Tamandua tetradactyla: one gene and its partners. The protein of the gene in region 2 purifies or fractionates together with the protein of the main gene of each other region. This does not show direct contact. Links are inferred from orthologs where the notes say so. Each region holds a gene or a part of one and is shown on either strand. Other genes may lie near its edges. The genes, in order: CCDC86, SRPK3 and FTSJ3.

Region 1 (3,744 bases), on a different chromosome or scaffold from region 2:
AGAAGAGGTGTTGCTTTGGTTACAGCTGTGTTTGTCCCAGATCCTACATCAGCACAATATAGTGGGTTGAATGGGTCAATTACCTTCTGCCCTCTATTTGTTCAACCAAATGCTACCATGAGCTAGGCTCTGGGGGTCTGACCATGACAGATAAGTCTGTAGTCATGGAGCCTCTGGTCAAGAGGGGAAGATGGGCAGCCAAGAAGAATTACACAAGTAAACAAGCGTTTGTGAAAATGGGGATGTTATAAAAAGGAAGTAACTGGTACAGTGACAATGTATAGCATGGGACTTGAAAACTTAGATTGGACAAAGAGGGATTTTCTGAGGGGCTGACATTTAAACTGAGACTTGAAAGATGAGCAAGACTGGCCAGGGCAAGAGCCTTTCAAGGAGAAGGCACAGCATGAGTGATGGACCTGAGCACAGGCTACTGGAGGGACACAGGGGTGGAGGGGTCAGTGCGGAAGGATCGAGCGATGGTAGAAGAGAAGAGCGTGGGTTTATGGGGCTCAGACTCATTAAGGAGTCGGGTGTGCATGCTCTGAGCAAGTCAGAAGGGGTTTTCATTTGGGGTGGGGGAGCTGAGACAATACTCTCCCCTTCTACTGCCTCTTGGTCCAGCGATCTGAGTCTTCATTCCCAGTTCTGGCTGCTGCTCCTTGGTTTTCTCTGCTGGTACCCCTCTTCTCCCCATCTGTACACATGCCCAGCCCCCTCTTACTCAGTGAGCTCATTTTCTCTGCTAGACCTCCTTGCTGTGCCTGCAGCCTGAGTACTAGGCCCCCAGGCTCCCACACTCAAACTTCCTCACCTTCTCCTGCCTGAACCAACCTCCTAGCCTGGTTGTATATAGTCATTGGTGGCCCACCATTCTCCCTGTGACATGCTTGGAAGGCTGGAGCAAGGCGCAGTGGCAGCGCCACCAACTGCTCCTCCCCCTTCAAGCCACTAGAGCTTCCAAATCTGTCCAATTGGTGACTGGCAGCAAATGACTCTCTGAGCCTCAGTCTCTCCTCTGTTTAATGGGGGAAAATAATACCTACTGTTTAAGATTGGGAGAGTTCAACACAGTGATGTCTGCACAGAGCCTTGCACAAAGCTCAGTCTTCAGTAAATGTTGTTAAAAGCACCCTCCTTCCCTGCAATCTCTCATGGCTATGCATCCCTGATTGTCCTGTGCGTGGTTTCCATGAGCTAAAATGGGCACTGAATCCCACCTCTCCTTCTTAGTAGATAAACTCTTCTTCCTTCAGATACGTCTCCTTACTGCTTCATTCAACAAGAGTTTATTGAGCCCTTACCAGACCCATGGCACAGAAAGACATAGAAGACCTCATGCCTGACCTTAAGAAGGTTGAAATCTAAGTTAAGATAGATCCACTGGGTATGGGAAAAGAGATTTCATACATCGACTTCGGTATCAGATCTGTTGCCCTGGTTTTGCCTCTTCCACTCATTTAGCCTCCCTGGGTTTCGATCTCCTTACATGTAAAACAGGAAAGAAAATACTAGCATCATAGGACTGATGTGCAGATTAAACACTATAATGCATGGCACTCCCCTCTGCAAGACTCTCCCCCTACTCAATTCCTGCACAGTGTCTTACATCACCCATGCTGGAGACTCATTTTTATCATAAAGACAAATAAATGTAATAGATAACAGTGGGTGAAGACCTAAATGCTTTTATAAATTAATGGTTTACTTGCTTCTGCCTCCCTTTTGGGGGTGGAGTGGGGGTGGGGCAGACAATGGTAAATATCTATTGAATGGACTCAGAAATGAGGTGCTATGGGAGAGGTCCACAGGGCCCCTAAGAAGGAAGCGACCTTTGAGGGCATGGTCTCCCCCTCCCGGGCATCCCAGCCCACTTGACCACATTCTGATTGTCATCACCTGTTTGTGCAACACCCCACCACTGTGAGCTCTCTTCAACACTGCGGCTATCACTTCCTCCTAAGTTCAGGCTGCACGAGGGCGGGACCCCAATACTAGACAGGACCCCACTCCTGCCTATGTTATCTCACCTCTTCTTCGAGAGATCCTTCCACACCCGCCCGGACTTCGGCTTCCCCTTCGGAATCATCGGAACCATCTCCTTCTCCTCCTTTTTCAGTTTCTTGGATGCTGGAGCGTGGGCTGAAGAACCTCCTGGCTTCTCTGCCCCGAGGTCGCCTGTCACGGTGTTCCCTAACGGGAGTGGTTTGCTAGATTGGTGGTGATCACAGGGGAAGTCGGGTGATTGAGGTGTCAGCTCCTGGAGTGGCTGCGACGGCTCCGGACTTGGCGCTGGCTGACCCGGGTAAGGCTCTGGTGATCCTGGGCCCGGCTGCAGCCGATGTCGGGGAGACCCCGGGGCTGACTCTTCCTTACTCTGGGCTAACTCCGGGTCCGCTTCTCTCTGGCCCTGGGAGAACCTTGATGACTCCCCATTTGTTGTTAGCAGACGCCGGGAGGAACCCGGATCCTCCTCTGGCTGCCTTCGGGGAGACCCCAGGCCTGCACTCTGCCGGAGACTGGGCGACCCGGGGCTGGTCTCCGGCTGACATCCGGGGGAGGCCAGGCCCGGGGGCCGCCCACTCGGAGGAGACCCGGACTCCCTTGTTTCCTCTGGGTGCGGCTCGAATGCCAGAAGAGCCCGTCGCGCCCGTAAAACCGAAGGAGCGCTCTCGGGGGCTTCAGGCTTTAGGCCTTCCAGCCGCCGGCTGCGCCTCAGCGGCGTATCCATTGCCTAAAAGTTTCCAAGTCCGAGCACACGTGCAGACGCCGTCGCTTCTGGGACAACCGGCGCCCTCCTATGACGTCAGAGCCGTCCCGTCAGTACCCGCGGGCGGAGTACCTGTCGCGGGGGAAGCCATATTGGTGAGGGGCGGAGAGGCGGGGTTGACGGCCTGGGGAGGAGGGGCTGGGCTGGGCTTCTCGGACGCATGCGCAGTAGGCTTTGCGATCCTTTCCTGGAGAGCATCCAGACAGGGCGAAGGGCCAGAGACCCGTTTTCGGGAGAGAAACGGGTCGACAAAGGTCCAGAGAGGAAATTTGGTGGCTAACTCACTTCCTCTAGTTGGGCAAGGATCCTGCCCTCTTCGGGCCTTAGTTTTCTCATTTGTACTATGGCTGCTGTTGCACTAGCTTAGTGCATCTAGAACGAGCCTGCCCGAGTCCTCCTAAGTGCCAGAACGAATACTACCTGGGGAGTCTGGGAATGGAAAATGCCTTGTCTTGAGTTATTTGTTATATATTCAAACACGTGCTTATGTATAAAATCTATAGCTCTCCATTTCAGCGCTGTCAACATTTATGGGTGAAATTGAGGCTCCGTGAGATGCGCCACCTTTGTCCTTTGGCAGACAATGGGTCCTCACCCACACTGCGTGCTTTTGGGGATCCCTTCTCCTGCCCCCAGTTTGAGAAACATGGGCTGGATCATCTCCAAGCTCAGTTTCACCTGGGATGGTGGTTTTTGCCCCTGTGTGTGAACCTCCTCCTCCCTTTGCCAGGGTCTTGCTTGCTTTCCTATAATCACCTACAGATGTACTTTGTTCACAAAACTCATTGGGACCCTCACCGGAGAACAGGCTTTGCCTAGAGGAGACTTTTCTCTGTGCCCCTTTGCATGAGACCCAGGTGGGAGCTTTGTTTCACTCCTTGCAGTCTTCTTTCTTAAGCACATCTTGAGGTATCCCACCTGTCTCCCAGCTATTTGCCAGCCTTATCCTCAGAACTGCCTGGGAGTGGCCCTCA
Region 2 (3,744 bases):
CCTGCACAATGGAGAAGGCCACGGCCCCTGGGGATCCCGTGGACACCTGCCCAGCCCTGGGGCCAGCCCCAACCTTTCTCCTTCCCATCCGCACCCTCACGCCCCCCCCCCGGAAGCCCCGCTGCTCCTCACAACCCCCCAGCAGGGAAAGCCCAAACGCGTCTCCCAGGTGCCCGCTTCCCTCGCCAGCTCCAGCTCCCTCCGTGCTCCCGCCCCCTCCCACGCAGCCCAGCACCAGTGGAGCTTGTCCTCCCACGGGAGTGGCCCTGTCCTGTCGGGAGCTCCAAGGGAGGGCACCGACTCCTCTCCTGAGCGACTCCTCTCTGCCCACGGAGGGCAGCTGGGCAGGGGAAAGCAGCCCCGGTAGCCCCTGCACCCAGGCCACTCAGCCTGGGGTCGGGGGAGTAGAGGGTAGGGAAATTGGGGGATGGTGGACCCATGTGGCTGAGTGAGGGGTTCTCCAGCTGGCTCAGATGGGGGAGACAGAGAGCAACAGAAGAGGGGTGCCCCAACTTACCCAAACCTCTTGGGGGGCAGTGCTGACTGTGGAGGAGGGGGGCAGGAGAGCAGCCGGGAGGTGGGTGGGCAGGGGGGGCGGAGAAACAGAGTCAGGGTGGGGCTGAGGCCCCTGCCTCCCCCCCTGTGCAAAGCCCCTGGTACCTGTGGACCGAGAGGGCGCTGGGGCCCCCGACTGCTGCCATGCCGTGGCTTCGGCAGCCAGGCGCCGGATGTAGGTGTCGCCCACGCACAGCAGGATGTTCTCGGGCTTGATGTCGGTGTGGATGACCTTGCACTTGGTGTGGAGGTAGTCCAGGCCGTGCAGCACCTGGGGAGAGCCATACCTGAACTCCCCCAGCCTGGCCAGGTGGCGCAGGTGGCTGGCGGCTGGCGGCACTCACCTGCCGTACAATACTCTTCACGCAGGGCACGGGCAGGCCCTGGTAGTTGGACTTGATGATCCACTTGAGGAGCTGGTGGCCCAGCACCTCCAGTACCATGCACACATCTGGGGCCAGCGAGTGAAGGGCATGGGGCTGTGGGCGAGGGGGCGTCTGGCGGGGCCCGGGCTGGGAGACAACTGTCTAGAGCATCCCTTGTCACTCCCAGGGCTTTGCCCCTTGGGATGGCACATCTGGTGGTCATCCTGGAGAGAGGGTAGCTCTGCTCCTAGGCCGAAGGGAAGCTGCTGCCACAGGGGCGGCCCCTGCCATTTGCACCTCCCATGACCCAACACTGCTCCCCACCCCTGTAAGCAAATCCCCAAAGTGGTGGGGGCTGTTTCAAAGACTAACAGCTCTGGAAGGGGCAAGTCCCATTGTGCAGATCAGCCAACCGAGGCCCGGGGAGCTAGGAGGGCACATGCTGGGCCCCTTTGCCACCCCACAAGGATACGGACGCCATTAACCCCCGAGATCCTGAAGTCATCAAGAAGCTGGACGATGGTCTCTCTTTTGGGGTCGTTGGGGTCGCTGTCTCGGACCTGGAGCAAAAGCCAAGGGCCATGATGGCTCCAAGCCCCTCAGTGCCAGTTAGCTGCACCTCTCGGTGCTGCCCACCCTGCCTCTGGCCCCCTCTCCCACTCCGTCGGGGCCGGGCTGGGAGACAGGCCATCTCTTGCCTCTCTCCTGCTTCTCCAAATCCTTCCCCCCCCCCCCCCCACCCCGGCTCGGCCAGCTGGAGCCCTGCTCCTTCTGGAGCCGACCCACCCCGCCCCGCGGATCCCAGCAGGCCCTGGACCCGCATTGCCAGGCCCCGGGCAGCTCCAGGGGGGCTGTGAGCGGGGAGGGGAGGCGCCTCACACATTTCAGGAGCTTGATCTCATCCACAGCTGTCTCTGTGTAGTGCCCGGCGCTCTTCACCACTTTCAGGGCCACAAACCGCTTGCGCCTGCAACGCCAAGGCCCGCGTCGGGCTGCTGGCCCCGGCTGGACCAACGGGGTGCGCCGAGGCCGCCCCACCCGAGGGGGCGCAGGATGGTGGCCGGGTGGGGGCGCAGGGCGGCCCCCCAGCCCACTCACTGGATGTCCCAGCAGAGCCAGACGGTGGAGAAGTGGCCCCAGCCCAGCTTGCGCACCACGTGGTACCGCCCGTTGAACAGGTCGCCAATCCTCACCGGGTAGTAGCCGCCTGGCGAGGGGAGGCGGGTGGTGGCGGCGGGCCCCCTCGGCCCCCATCCCGGCCACCCGCACCCGCTGCCGGGCCTCCCGGCTTCCCTCCTCCTCCCCGGCCTCACCCTTGCAGTAGTCCTTGGGGTCTTCCTGCTCCTCGTCGTCGGAGCCCAGAAGCCCCTGCAGCATCTGCGGGCCCGGCGCCGCCAGGGCCAGTTCGGAGCCCGAGGACTCGGGCCCGCACGAGGTCTGCGAGCTGCGGGGGGCGGCGGGGGCGTGAGGTCGGAGAGGCGCCCAGGGCCCTGGGGTGCCCGGCCCGGCCCTACCTGCTACTGCTGCCGCTGTCGCCGCCCGCCTTGGCACTCATCCCGGCCCACAGCTCCGGCGCCCCCGGGGCCGGCTGCTCCTCTGGGGCCCGGCCGTGGCCTGAGCATTTATAGGCTCGCCTGCTGATCTCACCCGCCTTTATAAATAGCCTCCCAGCTGCTCGGCTGTGGGCAAGGTATGCGGGCGCGGGGAGGGCCCGGGAGCGCCCCGGCCCCAGGCTGTCGCCCGGCAGCAACCCGGTGGCCAGGCCGAGCCCCCGCGAGTGTCACTCGTGGAACGTTCTCCGGCTTTCCACTTGGCCCCCTGGGGAGGGAGCCAAGCTCCTGGGGCGACCCTTCTCATTTCCCTCGGAACCCCATTTTTGTCCCCTCCCAACCTGGTTCCCGCTTTTTCTGTCGTTCGTTGGCCCCTGAAATTGGCAGAGGCCCAGCACCCTCCCTTCCCCACCTGCAGCCCTGGGGGTTGGGTGGGGCGGGGATGCTTCAGGAACCAGCAAGGGCATGAGCCGAGGGCACCTCGCTCCTCCCACCAGAGGTGCCCGGTCTGCCGGGTGGAGGCCTTGGGGCCTCGCCGACACCCCACGCGCTCTCCCTCCTAGCTCCCCAGGAGAGCCCACGGGCAGCCTTGCCCAGGGCCTGCCACCCCGGCGGGGTTCACCATCTCCATTGGCATCTGGAAAGTGCCACCGTGAGCTGTGCACACTGGAGCTGCAGCACGGAGTCCCCCACCCTGCCTGCAGGGGCGCGTCCTCGCGGCAGCCACCAGCACATGAGCACTGCCCAGCCCTGCGAGTGGGGCAGTGATGCAGGCATCCGGGGACTTCAGGCGAGAGGAATGGGGTCCCAGCACAGGGGGGAGGGAAGGTAAGCCTCCGGGGCTTACCTTCCGGGGTGTCATATCACCTGGAACCTGGACTTTCCAGGCTAACAGGCACTCTTGCTCATCTGATTATTCTAGCTGCTTGTTCGGGGAAGTGGGAGTGGGGGGCAAGAGTGGAGATGGGAGGCCAGTTTCAGGGGGCCGTCGGGGCTGTCAGCGTGAAGCAGAGGGGGCTTAGGCATTGGCTGTGGCTATCCCAAGATGGGAGAGACTTGGTCCTGCCTTCGTGTGCCAGGAAAGCCCTGGGAGGGGGCAGGGCAAACAATAATGAAGGGGTGGAGGGAGCTGGGGGCTGGGGAGAAAGGCGCCAAGGCGCAGCAGGCATCACAGTCATAGCCAAGGTGGGGTGGCAGGGACTCCCAGCCAGCCAGGCTAGGGTGGTGGAGGGTGGTCGAGGGGAGGCAGGGACTGGGCTTTTTCTACAAAGGTG
Region 3 (3,744 bases), on a different chromosome or scaffold from region 2:
CAAGTTGCTGAATACCAAAGATGAGAGAATTCTGAAAACCACAAGAGAAGAGCAACAAGTCACATACAAGGGAGCCTCAATGAGACTGAATGTGTATTTCTCATCAGAAACCATGAAGGCAAGAAAGTAACAGAATAACATTTTAAAGGTCTGAAAGCAAAAAAACTGCCAACTAAGAATCCCATATCTAACAAAACTGTCTACCAGAAATGAAAGATTAAGACATTTCCAGATAAACAAAAGCTGAAGGAGTTTAGTACCATCAGACCAACCTGACAAGAGATGCTAAAGAGAGGTCTGCAGATTGAAAGGAAAGGACAGAAGACAATAGATCAAAACCACAAGAATAAATAAATATTCTCTGGTAAGGAAAATGACAAGGGTAAATATAAATATCACTATGATTGTATTTCGTGCTTCTAACTCCATTTTTAACTTCCTATAGGATCTAAAAGGCAAATGTATGAGAAATCAGTGGTTTGGGACTCATAATGAGTTATGTGCATAATTTGTAATGACAACTACATAAAGGTGGGGGGATGGAGGGGTACAGGAACATAGTTCACCTATTCTATGGATCTGAGTAACTTGGGGGATAGGAATATGTTGAAGGTTCCCCCATGGGTTTGTATTATTTTTATAACTGTTGTGTAAGTTTGAAAACATTTCAAAATAAAAAAATTTTAAATTAAGAAAAAGAGTATGCTTTGGTAGTTGAGAGACTGAATCAAGGCAAAGAAGAAAGTGGTGCCTACCCTGGCAAAACACAAAGATCTCTGCAGATTCATGGCGAGAGGCTTGAGGCTTGGTGGCCTGGACACGGCGAAACAGCTGTTGGAAAATCCATAGTAGGGGCTGATAGTCACGAGAGCGGAAAACCTTTGTGATGAAGCAGCCACCACGGGCCAGAAAATCACAAGCCAAACGCAGAGCCATGAGTGTCAAATGGGCTGTGGGATAAAGACAGTCAGTTCGGGACTTCTGTAGCCTGAGAGGACATGCCCACCTCCGCCCTCACCCTCATCTCTCCCTCCCCAGGTACCTTGTGAGTAAGCATCATGGACCCAACTAGCCCCAACATTGGGTGCCCCATCATTGAGCACAACATCCACCTTCCAGGTCTTTAGCTCTTTCCTCAGGGCCTACAGAGAAGTAAAACGATTATGGCAGCAGAAACAAAGGAGTCCCTAGGAATGGAGTCCCTGGGTCAGTCATCTCCCTACTCATTTGTTGAATGCCTGCCATGAGCCAAATCTTGTTCTAGGTGCGGGGTAGACCATGGTGAACAAAAATAATGTTCCTGACTTCATGGAGCTTAAAGTCCAATAGTGGAGTTCACCAGAAAGAACTTCACTGAAGATCTCTGTCCTGTCCTCAGGTCCCAAAGACCTCATTCCCTACTCCCAAACAGAGGACAGAATAGACACTAGAAACATCACATCACGGTGCCACTGCTCAGGGCACAATATCCAGAAAAATCTTGCTTCAGTGGATTTGAGTGAGAAGAGGAAGTAACACGGATGTCTACATATAAAGGAACAAGAAGAGAGGGATTCTTATTACCTGTCGACAGCGTTCTGTTGTGATGTCCTCCTGGAGTGTCACCACACTGGGGAGAGGCTTGATTGGAACCAGGTCCACACCTGGAAGAAATCAGGTCAAAGTATTCCAAAGGGCTGCCCCGAAAAGGGAGGAAGGAAGAGTACAGAGATAATATCTCACATTCCCACCCCTTAAAACACCCAAGAGAGCCACCTGTCACTCACCCACAATAAGGCTGGACACAGGCATAAACTTGGAAGCCACCTGCAGCCTATAAAAGAGAAACAGCATTTTTAAATACCCAATGTGATCTGTCACCGCTAGTGGAGGGAGCCCTTATCAAGTGCAGTGGCCAGAGTCTGTCAAAGGTACACATTCCCAGCCTCTTCTCTGCAATCAAAAAAAAAAAAAAAAAAAAAAGACCACCAATGTTTAGGAGAAATCTATGCTCAGAGATAAGAAGTTTGAGGCTGGGATTATTGTATATAGAGAGAAGAATGCAGGAAGCATCCCAAATTCATCCCTCCCCCAACGCAACTCCCAATCTAAACCACCCAGGACTAAAAACCCGAAAAACACTATCAAGCGCGACCCGTGAAGGGTGTTATACGCACCATCCTCCTGGCGCGGCACACAGGTCCAGCAAGGCTCGAGCTTTCTGGAGGAACTGGAAGCGGCGATTGAGTTGGATTAGCTTGAAAGCAGAGCGGGAGCGATAACCTGAGAAGCGGCGACAAAACAATGAAGTCTATGCAGGGTTTTATGAGATATTTCTCCGCAGCCTCACGACACACGACCGTCAGCGGAAGAGGAATCTAATATTCGGGAAAGGGGAGCGGAAAGACCCAAGATTGTATGTTCGCTAACTGCAGCGCGAACTCTGACTCACCGGTCTCCTTCGCCAAGTGATAGAACTTATCCCGCCGACTCTTCCCAACTTTGCCCTTCTTGCCCATGGTGAGATACTCGAGTGTCACTCAATCTGGAGAGAAAGTGCGACAAGTTGGGAACGTCTCCTCCCAAGCAATATATTACACTTTCGGTGCCTTACTTTCTCAAACAATCACACGCCGCATGCTGCTCCACCTCACTCACCAGGATCTTGCGTCGTTTCCGCCACATTTAGGAACCGCGAGCCGCAAACGTACTTCCGCTTCCGCTTGTGCCCCTTACGTCCCCGGTTCCAAGTTTTCCACCATTTTGAGAGTGGCCATAACTTTGTTCTATACACGGTCCACAAGTTTTATAAATTGAAAGTTAGGACCAGGAGGGTGAACTAAAAACGGAGCTTCTAGAAAACAACATTTGGGAGGTCTGTCCCATCCTTGTCTCCTTCCAAAACTCCCGACTCGAGAAATTATAGCATCCCGGCCCCTGTTACCCTTCTGCACACCCCGCCCATTGACCCGGAACTCTTCTTTGTACCAGCCCTCGGTCTTGTCCAAGCCGCTGCTTGTGCGCTTGCGCACCAAGATTCCTATGCCCGCGGCCTCCTCTGAAGAATGAAAATGGCGCTTGATGGGCCAGAGCAGGTATGTTGATGTCGGCGGGTCAGAAACCCAGGCTGGGTGGAGAGCGGGCGTGAACCGAGATGGGTATCAGGCCGGGGCAAGATGGTTAGGGTGAACAGGTGGGCCAATACAGACTGGGCCTTGCCTGGGACCGATTCTGCTATGTCAGCGCCGCCCCCGGTGAATGAGGGCAGGGCCATGAGAGGAAGACTCGGTGGGAATAAGTGAGAGGAGTGATGGGAGTGCATCGGGACCAGCCGCGAGTTGCAAGTAGGTTGGGGACAGAGCACCCGTCCTTCCTGCCCTCTCCGCTTGTAACACCTCGGGTTTGTATGGCGATCGACGCTTTACAAAGCTTTCAATGTATACCGTTTCTTGAGCCTCCTGCTTTCATTTTATTTTAGTCATGTGAAAATGGGGTGGGGGGTTGCAGAGGGGTTCAGAAGGGATTAGAATCCAAATCTTATGCTCCAGTGTCCAAGCTCTTTTTTACCGCATAAAGCTGCCTGTTATTTATGCCTTGTGGTTTTTAATCATTTGGATGCTTAGCCTGTTGTTGTTTAATAATTATGGTGTCTTCAGATGGAGCTGGAAGAGGGGAAGGCAGGCAGTGGACTCCGCCAATATTATCTGTCCAAGATTGAAGAACTTCAGGTGAGGACGGATTCCACAGGGAGTTGGGAGGGGAATG

Evidence for each region.
Region 1: the proteins of SRPK3 (region 2) and CCDC86 purify together in Homo sapiens (affinity purification with mass spectrometry; 3 studies listed by BioGRID and IntAct, with this or other methods). This does not show direct contact. The link is inferred for Tamandua tetradactyla from reciprocal best matches to the Homo sapiens genes SRPK3 and CCDC86.
Region 3: the proteins of SRPK3 (region 2) and FTSJ3 purify together in Homo sapiens (affinity purification with mass spectrometry; 3 studies listed by BioGRID and IntAct, with this or other methods). This does not show direct contact. The link is inferred for Tamandua tetradactyla from reciprocal best matches to the Homo sapiens genes SRPK3 and FTSJ3.

The regions. Positions count from the first base shown.
Region 1 is NC_135335.1:14,266,809-14,270,552, forward strand, and holds the start of CCDC86 (coiled-coil domain-containing protein 86), read right to left. Parts: upstream 2,864-3,744; 5' UTR 2,732-2,863; coding exon 2,031-2,731; intron 1-2,030.
Region 2 is NC_135353.1:6,037,032-6,040,775, reverse strand, and holds the start of SRPK3 (SRSF protein kinase 3), read right to left. Parts: upstream 2,809-3,744; 5' UTR 2,476-2,808; coding exon 2,435-2,475; intron 2,365-2,434; coding exon 2,234-2,364; intron 2,128-2,233; coding exon 2,019-2,127; intron 1,888-2,018; coding exon 1,800-1,887; intron 1,481-1,799; coding exon 1,393-1,480; intron 1,007-1,392; coding exon 900-1,006; intron 827-899; coding exon 661-826; intron 544-660; coding exon 518-543; intron 1-517. UniProt on the Homo sapiens protein: Serine/arginine-rich protein-specific kinase which specifically phosphorylates its substrates at serine residues located in regions rich in arginine/serine dipeptides, known as RS domains.
Region 3 is NC_135332.1:4,996,587-5,000,330, forward strand, and holds the start of FTSJ3 (pre-rRNA 2'-O-ribose RNA methyltransferase FTSJ3), read right to left. Parts: upstream 2,631-3,744; 5' UTR 2,499-2,630; coding exon 2,432-2,498; intron 2,263-2,431; coding exon 2,157-2,262; intron 1,814-2,156; coding exon 1,767-1,813; intron 1,644-1,766; coding exon 1,564-1,643; intron 1,143-1,563; coding exon 1,043-1,142; intron 951-1,042; coding exon 756-950; intron 1-755. Other genes in the region: PSMC5 (26S proteasome regulatory subunit 8), read left to right, coding at 3,045-3,074, 3,636-3,707.